Callithrix jacchus: one gene and its partners. The protein of the gene in region 2 interacts with the protein of the main gene of each other region in a pairwise test. Links are inferred from orthologs where the notes say so. Each region holds a gene or a part of one and is shown on either strand. Other genes may lie near its edges. The genes, in order: MAD2L1, TSC22D4, POLR1C, ZMYND10, TEX11 and NRBP1.

Evidence for each region.
Region 1: the proteins of TSC22D4 (region 2) and MAD2L1 interact in binary tests that used the Homo sapiens proteins (3 or more experiments, as listed by UniProt). The two-hybrid records come from large-scale screens. The link is inferred for Callithrix jacchus from reciprocal best matches to the Homo sapiens genes TSC22D4 and MAD2L1.
Region 3: the proteins of TSC22D4 (region 2) and POLR1C interact in binary tests that used the Homo sapiens proteins (3 or more experiments, as listed by UniProt). The two-hybrid records come from large-scale screens. The link is inferred for Callithrix jacchus from reciprocal best matches to the Homo sapiens genes TSC22D4 and POLR1C.
Region 4: the proteins of TSC22D4 (region 2) and ZMYND10 interact in binary tests that used the Homo sapiens proteins (3 or more experiments, as listed by UniProt). The two-hybrid records come from large-scale screens. The link is inferred for Callithrix jacchus from reciprocal best matches to the Homo sapiens genes TSC22D4 and ZMYND10.
Region 5: the proteins of TSC22D4 (region 2) and TEX11 interact in a two-hybrid assay, tested with the Homo sapiens proteins (2 studies listed by BioGRID and IntAct). The two-hybrid records come from large-scale screens. The link is inferred for Callithrix jacchus from reciprocal best matches to the Homo sapiens genes TSC22D4 and TEX11.
Region 6: the proteins of TSC22D4 (region 2) and NRBP1 interact in binary tests that used the Homo sapiens proteins (3 or more experiments, as listed by UniProt). The link is inferred for Callithrix jacchus from reciprocal best matches to the Homo sapiens genes TSC22D4 and NRBP1.

The regions. Positions count from the first base shown.
Region 1 is NC_133504.1:77,657,963-77,662,184, reverse strand, and holds the start of MAD2L1 (mitotic spindle assembly checkpoint protein MAD2A), read right to left. Parts: upstream 2,801-4,222; 5' UTR 2,696-2,800; coding exon 2,623-2,695; intron 1,785-2,622; coding exon 1,638-1,784; intron 1-1,637. UniProt on the Homo sapiens protein: Component of the spindle-assembly checkpoint that prevents the onset of anaphase until all chromosomes are properly aligned at the metaphase plate.
Region 2 is NC_133503.1:13,245,253-13,249,311, forward strand, and holds the start of TSC22D4 (TSC22 domain family protein 4), read left to right. Parts: upstream 1-1,259; 5' UTR 1,260-1,662; intron 1,663-2,113; 5' UTR 2,114-2,382; coding exon 2,383-3,144; intron 3,145-4,059.
Region 3 is NC_133505.1:51,998,509-52,002,741, reverse strand, and holds the start of POLR1C (DNA-directed RNA polymerases I and III subunit RPAC1), read right to left. Parts: upstream 2,801-4,233; 5' UTR 2,778-2,800; coding exon 2,709-2,777; intron 2,582-2,708; coding exon 2,510-2,581; intron 570-2,509; coding exon 462-569; intron 187-461; coding exon 54-186; intron 1-53. Other genes in the region: protein YIPF3, read left to right, coding at 3,083-3,163, 3,797-4,006, 4,178-4,233. UniProt on the Homo sapiens protein: DNA-dependent RNA polymerase catalyzes the transcription of DNA into RNA using the four ribonucleoside triphosphates as substrates.
Region 4 is NC_133516.1:32,917,247-32,921,534, forward strand, and holds the start of ZMYND10 (zinc finger MYND domain-containing protein 10), read right to left. Parts: upstream 2,801-4,288; 5' UTR 2,667-2,800; coding exon 2,575-2,666; intron 2,319-2,574; coding exon 2,210-2,318; intron 1,292-2,209; coding exon 1,175-1,291; intron 1,059-1,174; coding exon 1,005-1,058; intron 886-1,004; coding exon 748-885; intron 640-747; coding exon 551-639; intron 452-550; coding exon 351-451; intron 1-350. UniProt on the Homo sapiens protein: Plays a role in axonemal structure organization and motility. Involved in axonemal pre-assembly of inner and outer dynein arms (IDA and ODA, respectively) for proper axoneme building for cilia motility.
Region 5 is NC_133524.1:68,184,818-68,188,846, forward strand, and holds the start of TEX11 (testis-expressed protein 11), read right to left. Parts: upstream 2,801-4,029; 5' UTR 2,746-2,800; intron 1,754-2,745; exon of another isoform or gene 1,735-1,753; intron 1,497-1,734; 5' UTR 1,476-1,496; coding exon 1,439-1,475; intron 1-1,438. UniProt on the Homo sapiens protein: Regulator of crossing-over during meiosis. Involved in initiation and/or maintenance of chromosome synapsis and formation of crossovers.
Region 6 is NC_133515.1:87,585,567-87,589,556, reverse strand, and holds the end of NRBP1 (nuclear receptor-binding protein), read left to right. Parts: intron 1-897; exon of another isoform or gene 898-1,025; intron 1,026-1,069; coding exon 1,070-1,202; intron 1,203-1,671; coding exon 1,672-1,777; intron 1,778-1,913; coding exon 1,914-1,964; intron 1,965-2,067; coding exon 2,068-2,203; intron 2,204-2,366; coding exon 2,367-2,420; intron 2,421-2,503; coding exon 2,504-2,567; intron 2,568-2,778; exon of another isoform or gene 2,779-2,799; coding exon 2,800-2,855; exon of another isoform or gene 2,856-2,940; coding exon 2,941-3,045; 3' UTR 3,046-3,490; downstream 3,491-3,990. Other genes in the region: KRTCAP3 (keratinocyte-associated protein 3), read left to right, coding at 3,623-3,671, 3,814-3,990. UniProt on the Homo sapiens protein: Required for embryonic development. Plays a role in intestinal epithelial cell fate and proliferation, thereby involved in the architectural development of the intestine potentially via the regulation of Wnt-responsive genes.

The DNA of each region.
Region 1 (4,222 bases), on a different chromosome or scaffold from region 2:
CTAGACACACATAAGGTGAAATGTCATCAATCCAGTCTCATAGGAGACAACCTAAAAACCACTGGCTTAGGCAATATCTGCTTCTCTAGCATATTAAGATGAAGGCACAGATCCACAGTTGCCTAGAGGTTCCAAGCTGAATGATGTGAGCGAAAAAAAGTACAGCCTTTTGTTCTCTCTCTCAAAAAAAAGAAAAAAAACCGTGCAGCCCTATGATTCACTATAGATGATTTATTCCTGACTCCCAATTTTGGATGCAACTCTGGGAGAGGAGGACTGTTCCTATCAATGTCTTTCCTGTGTACACTGAGAACAGAGGTCTATTCTCACACCAAAAGAGTTCTCATCTTGCTGTTTAGACAATACCAATCCACTACAGCAGAAGTTCTCAACCAAGGGCAATTTTGTCCCCTAGGGCATATCTGGCAATATAACATATAGAGACATTTCTGGTTGTCAGAGCAAGGGGGTTTGTTACTGGTATTTCATGAGTAGAGGTCACGAATGTTGGTAAACATTACAACACACAAAAAAGCACCCACATCAAAGAAATATCCAGGCCAAAATATCATTAGGGCTATCTTCCCTTGCCTGTCAATTTGAGACCTGACATGCACAGGCTGTTGAGGAATTCCACTCCTGTACATATAAATGGCAAGTCAATGGTAACAATTTACCTAGAGGATAGTACAGCTTCAAAGAGAGTTATCAAGCTAAAAAAGTTCACATGGCCATCATCAGAAGAGCATATTAAAAATGGGTTAGTAAAAATGCCATGAAAACGATAAAGAAGCCACATTTGAAACAAAAAATTCTGGTCAACAAAAGAAATGATTTCTAAATTAAAAAAAAAAAATGATGGCCACTGTAATACTCTTTGAAACTAATATTTTAGAAGATAAAATAAGAGAAACATTTGAAAAATTGGAAATGAGCATCCTAAGTGGCGGGAAACACAAAAGAGAAACTAACAGGAATTCTAGAAAGGAAAAAGAAACAGATGAACAAGTATTCATCCAAGAGGTAATACAGCAGTTTCCCAAGTTAAAGAAAAATAATGAGTGTTCAGACAGAAAAGGCTTACTGCATCACAGGCAGAATTTTTGTAAATGACAAAGAGAAAGAGGTGAAAAACAAAACAAAAAAAAACTGTTGGTGTTCTGTTATGTAGCAGGTAATCTTTACTTTTTTGAAATTTAGTTCTCTGGTTGAATCCAATTTTATGTTTCTTGATCTTAATCTAATTATAACAGGAGACTACAGAAAATTAATAAATCATATTGAGACTATGTAGTGTATATTTTCTCAGCTAGTGAACACCAATATAATTATGTAACATTCCAACTTGTTCCATTTAGCAACATTAACTGCAAAAGCCATTTCTAAAGGAGTTGATGAAGACTTTTTTTTTAGCCGTATCAGATTTCTAACATCAAAATATTCAGTCCACTCACAATGCAGTGAGGGGAAGAGTGGATTTCTTCCATTTTACATATTATTTGCTTCCTCCCAACTGAAAATCACTATTTCCGATGTTCTACACTTCTATGTGCAGAGTGGAAAAAATTACTACTTGAGATGCCTGAAAATGTGAAGCCTAGTCTACAAGACTCAAATTGTTTCCAATGATTAAATACCTTTTAGTTGTTCCACCACATTATTTAGGTATTTTATGAGCTCAAGATCAGTAGTTACAAGCAAGGTGAGTCCATATTTCTGCACGCGAGTAAAGGTTTCAGATGGATATATGCCACGCTGATATAAAATGCTGTTGATGCCAAATGCTGCAAACAAAAGAAATGTCACAGAAAATTCCTTATCACTACATAACTTTGGAAAATAAAATATATTTAGATGTGGCTCTATTTTCATTACGCAATAAAGCTGTAAATGACAGAACACACGTGTTTGTATCTTACTCAGAGTAGGTACAAAGCGGCATTAAAAATCCTTAAAAGTCTTGCTTCTAAGAAAGAAAGGTATTTGCTTTCGTGCGGCAATAAGAAAAAAAAAACAAAGTGTATCAACCTACCATTGCCAAATTTCACCTCATTGTAAACCAAGTCCAAATTAATATTATGAGGCTAGAGGATATCAAAATAGGCTGTTGCATTCGAGTTAGCAACTGACTTAATAGTCACTGTGCTCCAGGCAAGCCTGCATCTTCCCCTTTCCCTCTCAAATCCTGCCAGATTCCTTTAGAACGTGCAGCGGGCCTGGTCGAGAACAGGCGTTCCCAAAATCTTGTTTACCACCAGCCTCACGCCTCACGATCACTTAAGAGTGGGAGGGTCAGGGTGCGGCCGCAGTTAAAGAAACAGAACAACCCTCCCTTCCCCCTACACAGGACACTGGGGCCCACCCCAGTCACACTCTGTCCTGTTTCGTGAAGTAAGCGGTGGGAGGTGGGGTGTTTCTGCACAAACGCTCCGGAAGAGGCTACGATGTGAGGCAGGCCCCAGCAGCACGCAGGCCCGCCGCTCCACGTTAGCAACGCGTCAGGAGGAAGCGACTGCAGCCGCCTCGCCCCAGATTCCTTCCCCGGTCTTGGAGGCCGAGCCGCGGGCCTCCTGAGCCGCCAGGACTCAGTTCACCCCCACTAAGGCCTGCGCAAGAACTTACAGAAGAACTCGGCCACGATTTCGGCACTCCCGCGCAGAGTGATTCCCTGCTCCCGGGAGAGCTGCAGCGCCATGGCCACGGACACAAGCAAATGCACGCGCTTCCACTCCGCTGACAGCGACCGCAGCGGCTCCTTAACAATTCCCCGCCAAGCGTTTCAAAAGTAACGACGCAGCCCGTCGTCGGGTCTTTTGCGCAGGCGCGACAGGCCTTTAACCCCGCCCTACGCGGCGGGATCCTGCCCTTTCTCTCCGTCTTCCTGCGATCTCGCCGGAACAGCCGGTTCGCGCAGGCGCAGTTTGTGGACTTGATCTGCTGTGCCTGTGTGAAGCTCCGGTAGGTTGTGATTAGATGTCTTCTGATCCTAGTCTACTAGTTGCGGCCGAGGCAAGAAGATGACGATTCCAATTTCAGTAGCCGGTGTCTACGCTTATGAACTGAAAGACCATGGAGTACCGTTTCCGAGTTTCAAAGTTACTTTCAAACTGAAATGAAGTGTTTGCCAGCTGCATCCGAAGTGGCACACGTGACCCCTAGTGAACGGTCTAAACTTCCGCTAGATGCTTTGGGAATTCGTGAAGCTACCGCGTGCGCGGTAGCCAGGCTGCAGCTTTGGAGGGTCTGCCTTCTGTGTGGGAACGCGGCTTTTCCCGAGAAATTGAGTTAGGGATTAAAGAGGGGAACTGCATCCTCTTTTCTGCCCATTTTCCACGTCTGTCCTAGGCTTAAGGCACCCCTCAGAGGCCAGAGGAGTAGGCGAGTCTGGGGCGGTAGGGGGACTGCGTCCGGAAGTCCAGGTTGCGTTCTGTCCACCCTGCCCACCCTTAGGCGGCAGGATAGGAATAAGGTCACCTCCCCAAAGAGGCTCATCAGCATTGAAGAATACTCAGTGTATCTTGACTCACCACACTCTATGACTTTTCATTGAAAAGGGTGAGAATTATTAAGGAGATATTGCACAATTAATGTTCATGTCAATTTTAAAAGAATTCTTAAAGCAGCTAGGAAGATATTTGTAGAATGACGCCTGAAAAACTTTTATATCTGCCAGACATGCTGTTATTATATGAGAAATACTTGAATGTTGTTAGTTTTCTATTGCTGCATAACTAATTACCACAAATCAGTGGCTTCAAAACACCACCTATTTGTTTTCTCAGTCCTGTAGGTAGAAGTCTGGACGTGGCATAGTTGACTGTTTTGCTCAGTCGCACAAGGTTGAAATCAAAGGGTCTTCAAGTGGGGGTTTCATCTGAGGTTTGAGGTCCTTCTAAACCCTCTGACAGAAAGTGGTTGTTGGACTAGGATCCCTTTTGTCTTGCTAGCCGTTGGCCAGAGGCAAGCTGTTTTTTTGCCAGCTGGCCCTTCCATAGACCTTCTCACACCTCCCATCCCCCTGACTTCAGGGAGATTCCAACCCTTTTAATTTTAATTTAATTTTTAATTTTTATTTTTATTTATTTTTTGAGACGGAGTTTTGCTCTTGTCACCCAAGCTGGAGTGCAATGGCGTGATCTCGGCCCACCGTAACCTCTGCCTCCTGGGTTCAGGCAATTTTCCTGCCTCAGTCTCCTGAGTAGCTGGGATTACAGGCACGCAC
Region 2 (4,059 bases):
GCTTTAATCACACCACTGTGCTCCATCCTGGGCAACAGAGAGAGAGAGAGAGAGACCCTGTCTCTAATAAAAAGGAGGAGGGTGGGGGAGAGGGGAATAATATAATGTCCAGGATTTGATTTCAAATAGTCTAGCAAAATACAGCTGGCTCCCGAACAATGTCATTTCACTGAATGAAATGTCATCTCACTCTGTTGCCCAGGCTGGAGTGCATCTTGGCTCATGGCAGGCCCGACCTCCTGGGGTCATGAGATCCTCCTGCCTCAGCCTCCTGAGTAGTTGGGACTATATGTGTACATCACCACATTCAGTTAATTTTTTAAAAAATTTTTTGTAGAGATGGAGATCTGGCTATATTGTTCAGGCTGGTCTCAAACTCCTCGGCTCAAGAAATCCTCCTCCCTCAGCATTTGAGTAGCTGGAATTACCAGTGCACCTCCCCATGCCCAGCTAATTTTAAAAATTTTTTGTACAGACAGGGATCTCGCTACATTGCCCAGGCTGGTCTCGAACTCCTGGCCTCAAGCGAGCCTTCCACCTCAGCCTTTGAGTAGCTGGAATTATAGGTGCACCTCACCATGCCCAACTAATTCTTTTATTTTTTGTAGGGGCCGGGTCTTGCTATATTGTCCAAACAGGTCTCAAGCTATCCTCCTTCCTCGGCCTCCCAAACAAAGTGCAGGGATTGACAGGTGTGAGCCACAGTATTCGGCAATAATCCACTTTTAAAAATAAGGAATGAGGGGAATAATAGTACCTTCCTCATTTAGTTGCTGTGGAAAGGAAAGGAGAATGACGGTAATAGCCACAGCCGCCCCACAGCAGGAACTAGGCACTTCTGGGGGGGCACCCAGTACACCTCCAGGCCTGTGCCGTCCCTCTCTTTGGTGAGTCTCTAGGAGAGGGGCAACAATTGACTACAAGTAAGGGAATCCCTCGCCTCCCTGCAAGCTCCTCCCCTTTCTCCCCGAGCCCCGCCCTCTGCAGCCCCTCCCTGCAAGAGTGGTGCTGGGGCCCGGCAGGTGTGGGGTTAAGGGAGTCTGTTTGCGGCCCCCAGGAGCAGCAGCCTGAGCAGCGGCCGCAACAACTGCAACAGCAGCGGCTGTGGCAGGCCTGGCCCCTGGCCAGCTGGCGGGGAGCCCCAGGAGGGAGGGAGGGAGGAGGAAGGGGAGGAAGAGGGGAAGGAGGAGGAGGAGGAGAGGAGCAGTCAGCAGGCCCGAGGAGGCAGGACTTCCTGGTGTGGGGGTTGTCAACAGCTCAGAAAGAGAAAGACGGAGAGGCAGACCCAGGGGAGCCGAGGAGCGGAGACAAGGACCCAGCGGGGCCACGCGGGAGGAGACTCGGGACACCAACTCGCCGGCTGCCACCGGGAGCAGCGGGGGACTCCGCCGCCCCCTCCCACATCGTCTCCAGACCCTTGGTGCTTCAGAGGCCGCGCTTGGGCTCCTCGGAGGAGGCTCGGGTTCCTTCTTTTCGGAGAGCAAACTTTACACGGAGATGCCTCGCAGAATGAGCTGCGGCCCCCGAAGAGGACGGGGCAGCCTGTGATCGCCGCCTGCGAGTCCCGCCACTGCCCGGGGCCAGGAGGCCCCAGGGAACCGACAGCCCTACCTCTTAGGCGCCGGGACCCCCAGGCTCAGATCAGTGGCCGAGGCCCCAGAGGTAGGGCTTGTGGCTGGGCGGGGCGCAGAGGGGTAGCCTGGCAGGGCTTGACCCAAAGATGTGGGAGCTGGGGTGAGGGTGGGGGCTGGAGGCCTAGGAGAGGTCTCTCTCTGGGTGGCCGGGCCAGGCTGGGGAGCTGCTTCACCCCGGTTCTCCCAGGCCCTGGAGTCCGAGCTCCTGGGACAATGCAGGATCCCTGAGTCGGAATCCCAAGCGAGAAATGTTCAACTCTGGGACCCGTCTGCCTCTTCCTACCCTGAACGCCTTCTGGGATCCGGTCCCCTCTGCCCTGGTCTCTTGTCATCTCTTGCCTGCCTCTGGTTCTCTGACGGTTTCCTCTTCCCCCACTTTGCTCCCCGGAGAGGAAGCCCCGGAGGTGGCCTGCCCACTGGTTTCACACACACACACAGACACACACATAAACTCTCTCTCTCTCTCTGTCTTTTTCCAGTTTGCAAACTCAGCTCTGGAGTTCAGCAGCGACAGCAGCAGGAAAAACCTGCCCTTGCTCCCCCCTCCTGCCACCTCCACTCTCCTCCTCTCCCCTCACCCAGCAGGCACCCCCGGTTCCCGCCAGGCCCTCCTGCCATGTCGGACCCAGACGTCCCCAGGGGCCCGGATGCCCCCACCATGTGGCCCCCTTGTTCCAGGGGTGCCTGAGCCCCTTCAAGGAGCCCCAGCCTACCCCCAACCTTGGCCCAGCCCTGAGCCCCAGGGACCATGAGCGGGGGCAAGAAGAAGAGTAGTTTCCAAATCACCAGCGTGACCACGGACTACGAGGGCCCGGGGAGCCCAGCGGCTTCGGACCCCCCTGGCCCACTGCCCCCCACCGGGCCCCCACCCCGCCTGCCAAATGGGGAGCACAGCCCTGATCCGGGGGGCAAGGGCACCCCCCGTAATGGCTCTCCCCCACCTGGGGCCCCCTCCTCCCGTTTCCGGGTGGTGAAGCTGCCCCACGGCCTGGGAGAGCCTTATCGCCGAGGTCGCTGGACTTGTGTGGATGTTTATGAGCGAGACCTGGAGCCCCACAGCTTTGGCCGCCTCCTGGAGGGAATTCGAGGGACATCAGCGGGCGCTGGGGGCAGATCTTTGGATTCCAGGTTGGAGCTGGCCAGCCTCGGCCTGGGCACCCCCACCCCACAGTCAGGCCTGTCTCAGGGCCCCACCTCCTGGCTCCGTCCACCGCCGACCTCTCCCGGACCTCAGGCCCGCTCCTTCACTGGGGGGCTGGGCCAGCTGGTGGTGCCCGGAAAAGCCAAGGCAGAGACACCCCCACTGTCGGCTTCCCCGCCTCAGCAGCGCCCCCCAGAGCCTGGGACTGGGGAGAGCGGGGGCACATCTCGGGCTGCCACACCCCTGCCCTCCCTGAGGGTGGAAGCAGAGGCTGGGGGCTCCGGGTCCAGGACCCCTCCACTGTCCCGGAGGAAGGCTGTAGACATGCGGCTGCGGATGGAGTTGGGTGCTCCAGAGGAGATGGGGCAGGTAAGACCTGGGTTCTAGGGCTCGCCCATCTCAGCCCTGGCCTGACCTTCATGTTGGGCCTCCCTACCTCTGCCTCCCTCCCCCTCCTCCCCCCTCCTATCCCTTCTCCTCCTCCTCCTCCACCTCCTCCTCTTCCATCACCTGTCTATCAGATCAGACAGCCCCTTCTCTGTGCCTGCCAAGTCACTCTCAAGCCCCTTCCTTGGTTTTCTGCCTCAGCCTCCTTCCTGTTTTTTGCACCCTTTCTCTTTCTCTCTGGCCTCTGATTCTGTCTTGGTTTTCACGTGGCCTGGCATATGTGGCCTCCTCACCTGGCCTTCTTCTGTCTTGGTCTCAGCTCCTCTGGCTCTAGGTGATGAGGGTGGAGGCCCCAGCTGGGTAGCTGGGTCCCTGGGGTAGGAGCTGCCAGGATTTGGGGAGGAATGGTAAAAGGTAGGCCTTGTATGCTGCCAGTCTCTTTCCACTGCAGCCCCATCCTGAATGTGGGGTCTTTCTTTTCCCCCAGCCACCCATCGCAGTCCCACTTCTAGCTTTGCTGCAAGCCAAGTGTCATGGAGAAATTGGGTGGGGGGAACACCTCCCTGGGATGGGGAAGGGGCTTGCTGGTTGATCCTTTTCACTCCCCAGTTGTCTGGCTCAACTCCCTCCAGGCAAGAAGAACTTGAGGAGGAATGCAGTCCCCGTACTGTTTCTCCTTCCTGTCTCCAAAAGAGGAACAAGTCTGGGCTGGGGGTGGGGGGCAGGATGCCTGGGTCCCCAGGGTGGGGGCGAGAAGCCAGAGACATGGGGATTGAATACTTCTGTCCTGCGGGAGAAAATAACACCTCGGAGGGCTGGGGAAAGGCAGGGAGTGTGAGGATGCGAACTCTTTCCCCTTCCTGGCCTTGGGCACAAACCACAGTATAAAAATAACCT
Region 3 (4,233 bases), on a different chromosome or scaffold from region 2:
AACCAGGATTTAAACCCAGACAGTCCACTTCTCCCAAAATTTCATTTTCTCACCTTGGTTCCGATACTCAAAAAGACGGGGGTCAGCATGAATGGGAATGAGCCCCAGACGGTGAGCAAGGATCTCATCCTGAACAATAGATGTGTTGTTGTACACCAGGACCTTCTCCACAGCCATAGTTGGCACCTGCCCAAGGAAAAAATCACTTATCAGCAAAAACCCAATAGACCCCCTACCTATCCCCACAAACTCCAACCTCCAGAGGTAGGGAGCTATCTCTCTTCCTAGAATGTTTAATGAGAAGTTTACAAAGAATGAGAAGGTAAAATCCTTAGCCAGCAAAACTCCAGGAAAAATAAGAAGGGAAGGACAGCTTGAGACACTTAATTCTCCAAGTGACACTCCAAGTGTCAGTGCAGTTCCCAAAGCAAATCCAACCTTGTCACCATGCCTGCCAATACCTCAGCTAACAGAATTCGTCGAAAAGCATTGGCAATGGATGCATCAATTCCCACCATGTCAAACTCCAGTGAGTTTTCATCCATGTGTACCACATCCACACGGAAATTCTAGAGGGACAGGAAAAAGATTAAGTGAAGCCTGCTCTCTTTGTAATAGCTCTTCATACCTCCCCCTCAGATGATTCCAAGTATTATCCACTCATCCAAAAACCACCCTTTGCCCAGACGTCCCTTATTAAATGTTCTTTCTCGTCCAGTGCTTGCTTTAGGTTCATGAAAAGTGTCCATTTTTTGTCTTCCATTCATTAAAACCCTATCCAATATGGCTCCCAACCAAACCATCCACAGAAGCTATTGTCCTAAGAACAGAAACCCACCTCACTGCTTAGTCATGCTGACACTAGACAGTCCTTTTACTAGACGTCTGTTACGCCTGGCATTGATTAAAAAAATCCCCTCCTGGAAAGGCGCAATGGCTCATGCCTGTAATCCCAGCATTTTGGAAGGCCAAGGTGGTTGGATCACGAGGTCAGGAGTTCGAGACTGGCATGGTGAAACCTCATCTTTACTAGAAATACAAAAAACTAGCCGGCCATGGTGGTGTGCACCTGTAATACCAGCTACTCAGGAGGCTGAGACAGGAGAGCTGCCTGAATCCAAGAGGCAGAGGTTGCAGTGAGCTGATATCCTGCCACTGCACTCCAGCCTGAGCAACAGAGACTCCATCTCAAAAAAAAAAAAAAAAAATCCCCTCCTTTTTTGAACTATTCTCCTGGCTTCTGAGCTCCATTCTTCCTTCTCTGATGATCAACAACGTCCACCCATCTCTAAATCTACCAGGTTCTGGTCTCTCTCCCAGGTGACCTTAACCACACTAACAACGGTTTTAGCAACTATCTGTGCTGACACCTCCCAAAATTTTACCTCCCTTCTGATCTCATTTCAAATATGCAGTCTTCTAGCCTGCTAGATTTCTCCAAATGCAGGAAACGACGTATCATCATTCCTCTTCCCCAGACCCATTTCTTCTCTCAGTAAATGATACCACAATGCATCAAAGCAGTTCCCAAGTCAAAAAGTCATTTTATGCTACCCCAACAGCCTTTACCAAAGCAATCACAAATTTACCTTCTTTCTTCCTTTGCTCTCTTTCTACCGTCAGTCTTAGTTCATACCTTCAACCTCAGCTTCCCTTACAACAGATCTGCCTGCTCCATACGATCCTCTTCAAACTCATTCCCTCCCAGCTATCAGGGTTGCAAATCTAATCATGTCTGCTTAACTATTCAAGCTCCCTATCATCAACAGTGCCCAAGACACACTTCAATCTTGCCTACCACTAGTGCCAGAACTGCTTGGACATTCCCGGAGCACAATTCACACCATAACTTTTTTTCAAGCATTAGCCTTTTTCATTGTTCATACTTTATTCCTGTATCAACAGGTTAAAAAAAGTAAAATTTTCCCAAGCACAGATTTATAGATCATGTTTTATAAACTGCACACACAGTTCAGTTGCATAAACAGTAACATTCAGTGATCTATTTAAATGCAATTTTAATCCTTATTTTAAGCTAAGTGAAACAATAATAGACTAAATACACACAAAACCTGTATATCCTCAACTTCACTGACCTGAAACTCAAAGCCTTCCTAATTTAACTCCTGTTCTTTACTTACCGTTCAAAGCTCAATTCAGATCTTCCCTCCTCAAGAAATGTTAAGTACCTCTGGGCCCCTCTTCCTGGTCTCAGCATAATGTTCCCCACACGAATCCTGCCATCTTCACAGCTATCAACCACCTTTACCATATTAAACTAGATTCACTTGTTTATACGCACCATTCCTCAACAAGACTGAACATCTTGTTTGCAGAACTGGGTAGAAACTGTGTCTAACTTGGCCTGTAAACGGAGGTCTACCACATTGCTCAACAAAACTTACAAACGGAGCGACCCCCAAGAGCAGCTACTGAGACAGACACATGCTGCTGAGACCACAGGGTCTGGCCCTCCTAACAATCCCCGGACAACTCTGGCCCCACTGACCTTCTCGAAGCGTTCCTGGTCCCAGGCATCATCATAACCGGAATAGTTACCGGGAAAGTCAGTGGTATGGACCTAGAGCAAAGGGATGAGTTTGTCCACAAATGGACAGTGAGCCTACGGCTATCCCCACGCCAATCCCAAGACCCATCCCTGTTCCGCTCTCATTCCTCCCGCCTGAGCTCAAGGACACAAGTCTTACATTGCGAACCCCAAACTCTCCTAGAACCACGCGGCTCCGCATTTCTTCCACGGCCTGAGTAGCCGCCATGTTCAATCTCTCCAAAAGACTACAGGCTCTAGCTGGCGCGTGCGTTCTAGCAGCACTGCTCCATCTCCGTGGCAACGCACCGCCTCCTGGAATCTTAAATATCGCGAGACTTTGCTCCACCTTCATCCACGTCCCCAATTTCCGGAAGTTGGTTTTGTCCAAACATCCGGGTTTCTCCTTTTTGTGTTCCGGCTGATCCCACCTCTCCGCGACCTGGGACCTCTCCCTTCTTGGGACTCACATCTCGCACACTTCCCTGCGCGCGGGGCTATCGCGGGCTTCAGCGACGGGAGCCCTCAAAGGGCATGGCAACTACAGCGGCGCCGACGGGCGGCGCCCGAAACGGAGCTGGCCCGGAATGGGGAGGGTTCGAAGAAAACATCCAGGTAATGGCCCCAAGGCACCAGATGCCAGCAACCCGAGGGCCGGCGATGTCCAGAAGTGTCTTGGGGATTCTCCCTCGGGGCCTGGAAGTTCACTCCATTTGCAAAACTGCCTTCTTTGGGTCTTGCACACAAAAGTCAGTGGAGTTAACATTGACCTGAAAGGGCCAGACTAGTCTACTACTCCAGCCTGAGGATCTCGGGTCTCTGGGCCCGCCCGAGGCGTTAGGAAGAACGTATTCTTGGAACAAGTTAGGAGGTTGGTTGGGGTCAGGCCTGGAGTGGGGTTGGGTGGGATTCACTGGCACTCGCCGAAAACATACTGTGTTCATAGTTTTGTTTGGGGCTTTGGAAAGACAGAAATGGATTCTTTTTCAAGCTTTTAGTCTTTGATAGGTAAGGTAGGAGAAAGACATGAATGGAAGACTAGTTGGTTTCCCAGGCTAGAAAAGATAGCCAAAGCTATAAATCAAGCGTTCTGAGAGCAAATGAGGGGGAATGGAGTGGCATGATCTGTAGTGATTCCAAGCCGTATCCTCAGCAGTGGAAGAACAAAGCCCTAAGCCCTGGGATGAGCAGAGGACTTAATGGATGGAACAGAAAAGTCCTGCACTCTAGGAGCCATTGTCTTAACAGGGCGGAGGCTCAGCTGTGATTGACATGGAGAACATGGATGATACCTCAGGCTCTAGCTTCGAGGATATGGGTGAACTGCATCAGCGCCTGCGCGAGGAAGAAGTAGACGCTGATGCAGACGCTGATGCGGCTGCTGCTGAAGAAGAGGATGGAGAGTTCCTGGGCATGAAGGGCTTTAAGGGACAGCTGAGCCGGCAGGTGGCTGATCAGGTAAGCAAGATGGAATCCCCTGCAGGTGGAAAAGTAAACCTAGGTGTGTCCCATGTCCTGGAGTTGGTATTGGTGTGTCGCCCCAGGTTGTCCTGGTAGAAATCAAATGGAAAATAGGCAACAGGGTCTAATGCCAAGAGTTCCACAATACCTATGCCCATCTTCCTTCAGATGTGGCAGGCTGGGAAGAGACAAGCCTCCAGGGCCTTCAGCTTGTATGCCAACAT
Region 4 (4,288 bases), on a different chromosome or scaffold from region 2:
GGGAGAGGAACCAGCACACTGGGTGCAGGCGTTGCATTCTCTTCAAGTGAGCCAGCCATGGGGCCTGGGAGACTGACCATTGCCTGGGAATGGTGGGAGAGCCTGGGCCACAGGACTTGGGCAGGCTATATAGTGCTGCTCACCCCAGAGCAGGATGAGCCTCGGTAGTGGACACATGGGCCTGGCCTGCTGCAGAGCTCAGGTCTAGGACAAGCTTGGCTGAGGCATCCTGGTATCCTCAGTGGGCTTGGGGACAGGGTTTGTTTTCATATATGCAAGCTATCCCCCTTTACCAAAAAGATATCCTGAAGCAGTAGCCTGGGGCTTAGGCTGGTGGGGGAGGACCCTACCTCCTTCCCGCCGGCTCCAGGGACTATGCTCCAGCAGTTCCACCAGGAGGCAGGGCAGGTTGTGTGTGCTGAGCATGCGGCTCAAGGTACTGAGGGAGAGGCTAGGGGCAGGAATGTTGGGAAGGAGGTGAGCAGAGGCAGGCTACAGGCCCAGTCTTCCAGCCTTCCACGGTAGGCCCAGGCCCAGTCAGGCTGCCCACCTGTCCACGCAGTCTGTGATGTAGCGCAGTACTGAGAGGGCCTTCAGAGCAATCTCAAATTCCATCAACTCTGCCTGCTTCTGTAGCTCCTGGGAGGCCACACAGTGTTTATGCTGGGCCACTGGGCCACTCTCACTTGCGCAGGCCTTGGGGAACCCAGACCTAGGCCTTCTCAACCCTAGGGAACCTCAACCCACCTGCATGGGGTTGTTGTCCTGGGACCCCTCCTTCTCAGGGGGGCCACCACAGCCACTCTGGGCCACCAGCAGAGTCAGTTTGCGGTGGCAATAGTCTACCAAGTCCAAGACAGTGTCTTCTGCTGACTCACACACCTCCTGGGTGAAGCGGGGAGGGAAACTTTCTGTGTCTGATGCCCTCCTCACACAGATGCAACCTTCTTTCCTGCCAGGCCCTGACCTGGAACAGTGGCCCATGGGCAGAGATAGTCTCTCACCTTGTGGAAGAACACTGTCTCCAAGAGGTTGATGATGGAGGCCTCGTGGTGTACCTGTTAGACAAAAAGAAGAACAGGGCCTGAGGGAGGGATAGGGGCCACCAGCTTTCCTCCCGGGTCCAGAGCCCTCTGAAAGAGTGGGAGGAAGTATGAACTAGGGGCCAGCTCACCACCATGTAGATGGGGAAGGTGTTCTGAGGCTTGAAGTCCTCCACCCTGCAGAGCACGGGGAACACCTTCTGCTTCCACATCTCCACTGCAATCAGCTCCTCCACCAGCGTTGGGATCTTTGAAGTGGGGGGAAAGGACAGGGGGAAAGGACAGGAGTAAGATGGGCCTAGCCTGGCAACCCTCCCATCCCTGGCTCAGCTCAGCCCAGATCTCCTCAAACACTGCTGGGCCCCTAGACTCTCCTAGACCCCATGAGTATCCTTCCTGACTTCTCTTTTGCAACTTGGACCTTCATTTCCAGCTGCTCCCAACACCTCTGTGGATGTCCCCCATGCTTGTGACTGGCTCCTGCCCAGTCCCCAGACTGCCTTGCCCTGCCTGCACCTGTACCCTTATCCTCTCTCCCTCCATTCAGGCATTCAAGCCAGCCCTTCTGCTCATGCCCTCCCTCTTGTCCTTGTCCTCTGGTCCTCCAAGGCTCTTGTGTGCCTTGGCCTCACTCTTACTCAGGACCCTTCACAGTGCCCTGTTCCTACCCTATCCCCTAGTAACGAGCTCCACCTTTCTCTTACAAAGGAACTCTTTTTTTTGTGTGTGTGTGAATTGATATTTCAGGTCATCTGCTGGTGATACTCCCTGGTCCATGTTCCAGCCAGGCATCTCCCTGGTTTCTAACTCTGCTCTCTCATGTTAGGAAGGCTGCTTCCTTCCCTGCCAAAGATCCACTTCCAATTAAGTTATCTCCCCTCCCCCGCAGCCTTACAGTCAATTCACAGATGCCTTTAGGATTTGGGCCTTCCCCTCGAATCCTAAGCTGTTCTAGGACCTGCAACTTTCTCTTTATTCAACTCATGCCCTGCACCTGGCCTGGTGTGCCAGAGTCCTGTCCATAGGGATACATAATGTAACACATTCCTCTTTCACCTTCAGGGAGGACAGGTATACCAGGCCAGAGGGCAAAACACACAGGGCATTCCTGAGGGGTAGAGTGGGTATGGAGGAAGGCAGGAATCCTGCCTGTGACCTCAGGGTACCTTCCCATGGGTGACCAGCAGCTCCTGAATGGGCTCGCCCTGGCTGACTGTGGCATCGAGTATGGCTTGCATGTTCAGCTTCTCCAGGTTCTCGTGCTGCTGGTTCCACCTGCCCCCGAGGGTAAGTGCATGTGGGTGCACGTGTGTGCATTAGGAGTGAGGATGGGGGCTGGATCCTACTGAAACCTAACCTGATCCTAAGGGGCCACAGGGGGCTCAGGAGCAATAATACTCCTGTCTCAGAACGCTCTGCTTCCCCATTTGGAGGCCCCTCCACACTGGGCAGCCCCTCCACCCGTATCAGGCCCCAGCTCCCCCACTCAAGGACAATGACCCCATGACTCCGCCTGACCCAGGTGCCTCACCCTTCGGAGCCCATCTCGCGTAGCGGGAAGCTGCGCAGACCCCGCACCAGCACGTCAGCTTCCCCGGGCAGCAGCAGCTCCAGGTCTCCCATGTCGAGGCCGGGGTCCGACAGACCCTGGGCAGCAGTCGGGTGGGGTTACTAACACACGGGGACGATGCCCGACGGTGCCAAAGTCTGGGATCGGACAGTTACGGGACGGTTGGGGAGCGTGGGTTCTCGCAGTCATGGAAACGGGTTCGCCGCGCCTGCGCATTGCGGCCTGGGCCCGCCCCTGGAGGTAGCTCTCGCCTAAATCCGGGCGGGTCTACCGCCGGCCTCACCTAGGCCGCTGCCAATCGCTACAGTACCTGGATTCCCAGAGCTTTTCGGGCTGTGACCCACGAGTCTCTCCCGATTCTTGTGGCCTGGACTCTCTCCTGGGACGCCAAGTCGGCCTGCACAGGGATGGGGTAACCCCGACCCCACCAGCTCTTCCTGCGGCTGTGGCATGTTGACCCACTCGCTGCTCCTCCTCCTCCTCCTTATGGCGTCCCGGCTCCACTAGTTGGCTCCTGAAATACTTACTGCCAGGGCGCACGACTTCTCTCCATCCAGAATGTCGTCACCTGTCATGGGATAACTGTGGCAGCCTTTTCTCTAGACTTATTTCCACGCTTGGTCCTCATGAACAGCCGGGAGCCTCTTTTTAAAAAGTGTATGTCAGGCCAGGCGCGGTGGCTCACACCTGTAATCCCAGCACTTTGGGAGGCTGAGGCAGGCGGATCACTTGAGGTCAGGAGTTCGAGACCAGCCTGGGCAAAATGGTGAAACTCTGTCTCTATTAAAAATACAAAAATTACCCAGGTGTGGTGGCACACACCTATAGCCCCAGCTACTCGGGAGGCTGAGGTAGGAGAACTGCTTGAGCCCAGGAGGCAGAGGTTGCAGTGAGGCGAGATTGCACCACTGTACTTCAGCCTGGAGGACAAAACGACACTGTTTCAAAAAAAAAAAAAAGAAAGAAAGAAAAAACGTGTACAATTACTCTCTGGCATGAGAGAGGCTCTGCAGCTACTTCGGAGCACCAAATGCTAGGTCTGTCACAGCTTACTAGCACTTCTGCAAGATCTACTTCTTGCCCTCTCTCATACCTTGGGACTTGGATACTCGCTTCTCCCCCTTGCTTCCCTGGATCTCCCTCATACATTCCAAAGAGGTTTTTGCCTCAGGGGTTTTGCACTGTGCCTGGAATACTCTTCCTTCAGGGCTCAGTTTACACGTTGGATGGCCTTTCTTGGCCATTTAATCCAGAGCAGTCCCTGCTTCCAACCCAATTCATTCTTGATCACATCTTTTTTCTTTTTTTTTTGCGGTGGCATCTCCTCTGTCACCTAGGGTAGAGTGCATGATCTTGACTCACTGCAACCTCTGCCTCCTGGGTTCAAGTGATTCTTCCACCTCAGCTTCCTGAGTAGCTGGGATTACAGGTGTGCAGTAATCTGGCTGATTTTTTTTGTATTTTTTTAGTGGAGATGGGGTTTCACCATGTTGGCCAGGCTGGTCTTGAACTTCTGATGTTAGGTGATCTGCCCACCTCAGCCTCCCAAAGTGCTGGGATTATAGGCATGAGCCACTGGGCCATGCTACATCTGTTTCTTTCTAGGTTTATTTATTATTTTTATTTGAGACAGGGTCTTGCTTTGTCACCCAGGCTGGGGTGCAGTGATGGGATC
Region 5 (4,029 bases), on a different chromosome or scaffold from region 2:
TTCAGTGGTAGGTTCATTGTATTATTTCCTATACTCTTCTGTGTGATTCAAATATTTATGTAAATACAGTCTCAAATATTAGCTATTTAAAAGTCATAATCCCTATTCCATCTTTATACCTTTAAGGTATTATGTCTGAATTTAAAACTTAGAGTACACAGTAGTGGGCTTTATTGTTGTTGTTTTAAAATAACAAGTATTGGCTGGGCACGGTGGTTCACACTTGTAATACCAGCACTTTGGGAGGCCGAGGCAGGTGCATCACATGAGGTCAGGAGTTCAAGACAAGCCCGACCAACATGGTGAAACCCTGTCTCTACTGAATACAAAAAAATTAGCCGGGTGTGGCTGTGCGAGCCTGTAGTCCCAGCTACTTTGGAGGCTGAGGCAGGAGAATCCCTTGAACCCAGGAGGCAGAGGTTGCAGTGAGTCAAGATGACACCACTGCACTCCAGCCTGGGCAACAAGAACAAAACTCTTTGTCTCAAAAAAAAAAAGTATTAACAAAATACTGACCTAAACTTTTTTAAATCATAGATTTGTAGCCACATTTCTTACCACATATTTCATTACTATATGAATGTGAAGGTACCACAGGTCTCATTATTCCCCAAAAGCAAAGAAAGTACCATAAACTCTCCTATATCTGGCATGGTTGAGGAATTTGGTGTGTTGGTCAGTCAAATTGCTTTTGTTTATTAAGAGTTCCCATAAAACCAAACATGTATTACCAATTTTCAAACGAATTAAGATGCCATAAAATGCACTTAAATCTAAAACTACACAGGATATAATTTATTTTTCACGAATGATTATAGTAGGACACTCCAAGATTTTGCAGTAATTTTTTAAATTTATTTTTATTGCAATAGATGTATCTTTCAGATTAAATGTTTTATTTTGCATGCCATAAAAATCCTGAAAAAAAACAAGTTATGAATTATGAATTCTGTCTCCCTACACTAGTTCATAAAAGGTTCCCAATGTGTTAAAAATCGACATTGTTGGCGGGGCGCCGTGGCTCACGCCTATAATCCCAGCACTTTGGGAGGCCGAGGCAGGTGGATCACGAGGTCAAGAGATCGAGACCATCCTGGTCAACAAGGTGAAACCCCGTCTCTACTAAAAATACAAAAATTAGCTGGGCATGGTGGTGCACGCCTGTAGTCCCAGCTACTCGGGAGGCTGAAGAAGGAGAATTGCTTGAACCCAGGAGGCGGAAGTTGTGGTGAGCCGAGATCGTGCCATTGCACTCCAGCCTGGGTAACAACAGCGAAACTCCATCTCAAAAAATAAAATTGACGTTGTTTCTAGCACATAAATAAGAAAGCCTGGAGCTGCAGACACTGCAAAGAGACAAAACTAAGAAGCGAAATATTTAGATCTTAAATAAGCAGCAGTTTGACATTATTTTTTACTACCACATAAAGCTACGTACCTTTAAAGTCCATGGAAAGAAAATCGTCATTGTCCATTTTTAAATCTCTGGCTGAAGCCTATGAAATAATAAAATATTTTTAATACTCTGTTTTATCCCCTAGTTTCTCAACAAATTACTATCCAGTGAAATGTCTCCCGTTACTTGTTATCCAACAAGAGAAAAAAAGGCTGAGTAAAGCTAAAAGCCCATGAAAGGGTTTGTGAGGGTCAGGGCCAGGCTACCAAGTTACATAAAAGGGACCTTTTCTTAATGTAAGTCTGCCTGGCAATGGGGGAAGCGGAGCTGAGTGGTACCCTGTGATTGGTCTGGCTGGTTCTCGCTGCTTCCTTCTCATTGGTTCAAAATCCACTTCCGCTACCAACTGCAATTCAAAGCATCCAATCACTCCCAGTCCTTTTTCCCGCTCTCTGAGAAAGCCAGCCCTCCCGGTCCTTTTTCCCCACTCTCTGAGAAAGCCAGCCCTCCCGGTCCTTTTTCCCCGCTCTCTGAGAAAGCCAGCCCTCCCGGTCCTTTTTCCCCGCTCTCTGAGAAATCCAGCCCTCCCGGTCCTTTTTCCCGCTCTCTGAGAAAGCCAGCCCTCCCGGTCCTTTTTCCCGCTCTCTGAGAAAGCCAGCCCTCCCGGTCCTTTTTCCCGCTCTCTGAGAAAGCCAGCACTCCCGGTCCTTTTTCCCGCTCTCTGAGAAAGCTAGCACCTTCAGCATCCCGTCCCCAACGGTCATCAACAGCCCCACTTAGATATGATTTAGGTCCTTCAACATCTCAACTACAATGACTACCATCTCCAGTTTTCAGTGGCCCACCACCGCTCCCCATACGCCTCCATTCTCGTCAAAAAACATTACATTGCCCCCAACGGTCAAGAGTCCCGCTTTGACACAATTTAGGTCCTTTGGCATCTAAACCACAATGACTGCTATCTCCGGTTTTCAGTGGCCCACCACCGCTCCCCATATGCCTCCATCCTCGTCAAAAAAACATTACGTTCGTTGCCCCCAACGGTCATCAACAGTCCCGCTTCGACATGATTTAGGTCTTTCAGCATCTAAACAACAATGACTCCTATTTCCGATTTTCAATGGCCCACCACTCCTCCCCATATGCCTCCATCCTCGTCAAAAAACATTACTTTTGCCCCTCTTTTGTTCACCTTGAGAGCCACCAGCAGTTCGGTAGCATAAAGTCACTGCCTCAGGGCCACTCTAAAAAGTGTTGGCCTGATGGCTATATTCTTGCTAGTTATAAACTACCCAACTAACCTCTGTTTGAACCCTAATCTAGCCCTTCCTGCCCAAAAAATCACTCACCTCAGCTGCAGCCACCAACGCCGCGGCTGTGCTCTCCACAGCCTCCTTCCACAGCGCACGAGGACGAGGACGCTCGGAAAGCACCGCCCCCTAGCGACGTTAGTGACGTCACGCTAGACCACTAAAGCCACTCCCACTTGGCCTTAACCCTGTGTCAAGGCGCCTAGGCTTTGGGACCCAGTCTAAACCTTACATCCTGGGGATGCGGTTCAGAGAGTCAGTTGCTGGGCGATTTCAGGGTGAGACTCACTGAGATTAAGCAAGTGTGATGTAATACTGAAAGCATACTACAATGAATTGAGGAAAAGTGCAAATGGCCAGGATTACAGAAAAAACAGCAAGACTTCACACACACACACAAAAAGAACAGGAAAAGAAATAAAGCAAGTAGACATTGTTGACCACTGGGTATGAAAGAGTGGCAAAGGCCAGAAATAACAGACATATTAGAAGCTGAGGAGACTAGTTGAGGCCAGTCTGAGCAACAAGCCAGTCTGCACCTACACCAAAAAAAAAAAAAAAAGAAAGAAAGAAAGAAAAAGAAAAAAAAAAAGCCGAGTGTGATGGCATGCGCTTGTAGTCCCAGCTACTTGGGAGGCTGTGGTGGAAAGATCACTTGAGCCTGAGAGTTTAGGTCCAATGAGCCATGATCCCGCCACTGCACTCCAGCCTGGGCGACAGCGAGACCATGTCTCTTAAAAATAAAAAATAAGCCCGGAGCAGTGGCTCACGCCTGTAATCCCAGCACTTTGGGAGGCTGAGGTGGGCAGATCAACTAAGGTCGGGAGTTCGAGACCAGCCTGACCAACATGGAGAAACCCCGTCTCTCCTAAAGATACAGAATTAGCCGGGTGTGGTGGCGTATGCCTGTAATCCCAGCTAATCGGGAGGCTGAGGCAGGAGAATTGCTTGAACCGGGGAGGCGGAGGTTGTGGTGAGCCAAGATCACGCCATTACACTCCAGCCTAGGCAACAAGAGTGAAACTCCGGCTCAAAAATAAATAAACAAATAAATAAATAGAAAAATTAAAAATTAAAAAATCTTGTAGTTCCAAGACATGTTTCTGCTGCCCTGCCTTTGTCCAATCATTAGGAAACTACCTTAGGAAACTACCTAATACCTCTCACAGCAAGCTTGCCTGTCCCATGCATTTCCAAACCAAATGGCTTGAGGGGTGGAATATGTAAATAAAAATTTGATTCCAGCTAAATCTAAGCATGATGCTAATCTCCACTCAGAGGCAACAGTGTGAAAACATGATGCCTCCAGATTTGTAGATAACA
Region 6 (3,990 bases), on a different chromosome or scaffold from region 2:
ATGAGCTAAGATTTGAAAGACATAAGGTTATGAATCAGCAGATAAGAGTATAGTAAGTAAAGCCTGACAGGAAAGTCCAAACAAGAACAGTTTGTAACTCATTAGATAAGTATAATAGGGAACAGAGGAGAAAAGAAGGAAGACTGGTGGGAAGTCAGGAGGATAGTATGGAATAAGTTTCTAGTTCAACATTGAGGTGGAGTATTCAAGTGAAAGATTAGGTATGTAACCTTGTTAGCCTTCAAGGTTGAAAGCAGGTTAATTGTCATGGGATGTACAGAAGGCAGAAAAGGAGGCAGAGGTGAGGCACAGTGGCTCATACTTGTAATCTCAGAACTTTGGGAGGCTGAGCTGGGAGGATCACTTGAGCTCAGGAGTTTGAGACTAGCCCAGATAACATGACAAAACATTTCTATGAAAAAACAAAAACATAAAAATAATCTGGGTGTGGTGGCACATGCCTATGGTCCCAGCTACTCTGGAAGTTGAAGGGAGGGTTGCTTGAGCCCAGGAGGTTGAGGCAGCAGTGAGCTGTGATTGTGCCATTATACTCCAGCCTGGGTGACACAGCAAGACCCTGTCTCAGAAAAAAGAAAGAAAATAAAGCAGAATGGTTACAGGAATCCTGGGAAATTCAGTGAATTCAGTGATTGTGGACAAAGGAAATGGTGAATATTGATCACAGTGGGTAAGTGTGGGAAGAGATAAGCTAAAAATGTGGCAAGATTTAGAAAAGAAGATAGGCAATGAGTTGGCTAATAAAGCAGAGAGGTAAAAGAAATAAGGAAAAAAGAAGGAAAAAGAAAATGTAAACATTAAATAAAAAAAGAAAGTTTGTGGTTGGAGAGCAGATAAATGACTAAAACCAGAAAGGCAGTGGATGTATCTTTCATATACCTTACAGTTTTTGAAGCCCATTCAGGTGCGTTTGTCAATATATTGTATTCTCAGTAAGTGCCAAGCCCCTGCTATGTACAAAGCCTTGTGCTAAGTAGAATGAGAGCTATAAAGATGAATACATTGCGGGGCTTGCCAGATGCCTACTCCAGTTCCTTATTTTCTTTTCTAGGAGTTCATTCAAAAGTGCCTGCAGTCTGAGCCTGCTCGCAGACCAACAGCCAGAGAACTTCTGTTCCACCCAGCATTGTTTGAAGTGCCCTCACTCAAACTCCTTGCTGCCCATTGCATTGTGGGACACCAACGTGAGTCCTACTGGCCCTACAGGGAATATTCTTCCAATCTGGAGCCCTGTAACTATCACTGGCATGCTTGCTTTCCTCTTCTATTTCCAAAGGGATTCTTTTTTTTTTTGAGAAAGAGTCTCACTCTGTCTCCCAGGCTGGAGTGTGCAATGGTGCGCTCTTGGCTCACTGCAACCTCCGCCTCCTGGGTTCAAGCAATTCTTGTGCCTCATCCTCCCGAATAACTGGAATTACAGGCATGTGCCACCATGCCTGGCTAAGTTTTGTATTTTTAGTAGAGATGGGGCTTTGCCATGTTGGCCAGGCTGGTCTTGAACTCCTGGCATCAAATGATCTGTCTGCCTCAGCTTCCCAAAGTGCTAGGATTACAGGCATGAGCTACCATGCCCTGCCTCCAAAGGGATTCTTTACCCCTTTACATTTAATATGACTATTCCTCCATAACATCCCACTCCATCATGCCCTCCAGACATGATCCCAGAGAATGCTCTGGAGGAGATCACCAAAAACATGGATACCAGTGCTGTACTGGCTGAAATCCCTGCAGGACCAGGAAGAGAACCAGTTCAGACTTTGTGAGTAACTGAGATGGTCTGAAAAGGGCAGATTGGTGACTACCACTCTTGAGGTTCTGTTCATTCTCTGGGAATGGTTGAATTTGCTTTTTTGCTTGTTTCCTTCTTTCCATCTCCTTTCTCTTTTCTCCTCCAGGTACTCTCAGTCACCAGCTCTGGAATTAGATAAATTCCTTGAAGATGTAAGGTGAGAGCAGAGTGAGAAGACAGGCTTTCTTGAGGAAGCAGGCAGTGTTGGGTATCCTAAGACATTCACAGAGCTCATGTGATCTGTTTTCATCTCTCTCCAGGAATGGTATCTATCCTCTGACAGCCTTTGGGCTACCTCGGCCCCAGCAGCCACAGCAGGAGGAGGTGACATCACCTGTCGTGCCCCCCTCTGTCAAGACTCCAACACCTGAACCAGCTGAGGTGGAGACTCGCAAGGTGGGAGCTGTGGTGGAAGGGAGAGAGGACATCACAAATAAGGCTCTATCCTTTAGAGAAAATGCTCCCTAGCAGCCATGTGCTATGGGCTGGAAAGGCGTCTAGGTATTGGGTTTTTTATGGACAGGTCTCTAGAGTGACCCTCTCTGTCCTCCTTCCCTAGGTGGTGCTGATGCAGTGCAACATTGAATCGGTGGAGGAGGGAGTCAAACACCATGTAAGGCTCAGGGCTAGGGTTACGCAGGGCTGATGGCTAGAGGGTAGGGAGGAGTCTCATTTTCTGACTGTCCTATTCTCCAGCTGACGCTTCTGCTGAAGCTGGAGGACAAACTGAACCGGCACCTGAGCTGTGACCTGATGCCAAGTGAGTCTCTCCTTTCCCTCAGAGGATGGAGAGTCTGTGAGCCTTATCTTTGAGGGACATATTCAGGAGTGGGGAAGGCGACAAGGCAGTAACACATTGACTCACAAAGAATGGCTATCTTAGCCCCTACAACAGTGGGTGGATCTGACAGTTTAGCCCTAGTGGTGCTGTGTGAAGGGCCCCAGGTCCCTCAGTCCTGTACTGTACTCACCCCCTCCTGTTTCTCTGTTAGATGAGAACATCCCCGAGTTGGCAGCTGAGCTGGTGCAGCTGGGCTTCATTAGTGAGGTGAGATTTCTGCCTTCATCTGACCTGGCTGCCCCAGTGCCTTCTCTTCTCTCAGCCCCTGTCTCACTGAGCTCTTCTCCCCCAGGCTGACCAGAGCCGGCTGACTTCTCTGCTAGAGGAGACCCTGAACAAGTTCAATTTTGCCAGGAACAACACCCTCAACTCAGCCGCTGTCACCGTCTCCTCTTAGAGCTCACTCGGGCCAGGCCCTGATCTGCGCTGTGGCTGTCCCTGGACATGCTGCAGCCCTCCTGTCCCTTCCCCTCAGTCAGTATTACCCTGTGAAGCCCCTTCCCTCCTTTATTATTCAGGAGGGCTGGGGGGGCTCCCTGGTTCTGAGCATCATCCTACCCCTCCCTTCTCTTCCTCCCCTCTGCACTTTGTTTACTTGTTTTGCACAGACATGGGCCTGGGCCTTCTCAGCAGCCGCCTTCTAGTTGGGGGCTAGTCGCTGATCTGCCGGCTCCCGCCCAGCCTGTGTGGGAAGGAGGCCCATGGGCACTGAGGGAGCCGAATTCTACAATCCCGCTGGGGCGGCCAGGCGGGAGAGAAAGGTGGTGCTGCAGTGGTGGCCCTGGGGGGCCATTCGATTCGCCTCAGTTGCTGCTGTAATAAAAGTCTACTTTTTGCTAAAAGCGTCGTGTGTTCGAGCCTTGCCAGCCAGGGGGAGCGGGGCCGGGGCAGAGGCGGGGCCCAGGTGGGAGGGGAGCCCGAGACGGAAGCGGGGCCAAGGTTGGGGCGTGGCTGAGTCCATGTAGAGCTGCCCTATGGCCGGTGAGGCTGATGGGATGAGGCGCTGCCGTCTCTGCACTTTCGGTAACTTCCGGCTCCTGGCGTCTCTTGTCCTTCCCCTGGGGCCACTCTCGGCCTGTCGTCCTTGTTGTCGTCGTTAATCTGCCTCGAGCCACCTTTCCCTTACCCGCCCGGCTCAACCCTGCCCCTCCCCCATGCTTTGCAGACGCCGTCCGGGGCCCCCGGCGGCTGATGCGCGTGGGCCTCGCGCTGATCCTGGTGGGCCACGTGAACCTGCTGCTGGGGGCCGTGCTGCACGGCACTGTCCTGCGGCACGTGGCTAATCCCCTTGGCGCCGTCACGCCGGAGTACACCGCGGCCAATGTCATCTCTGTCGGCTCGG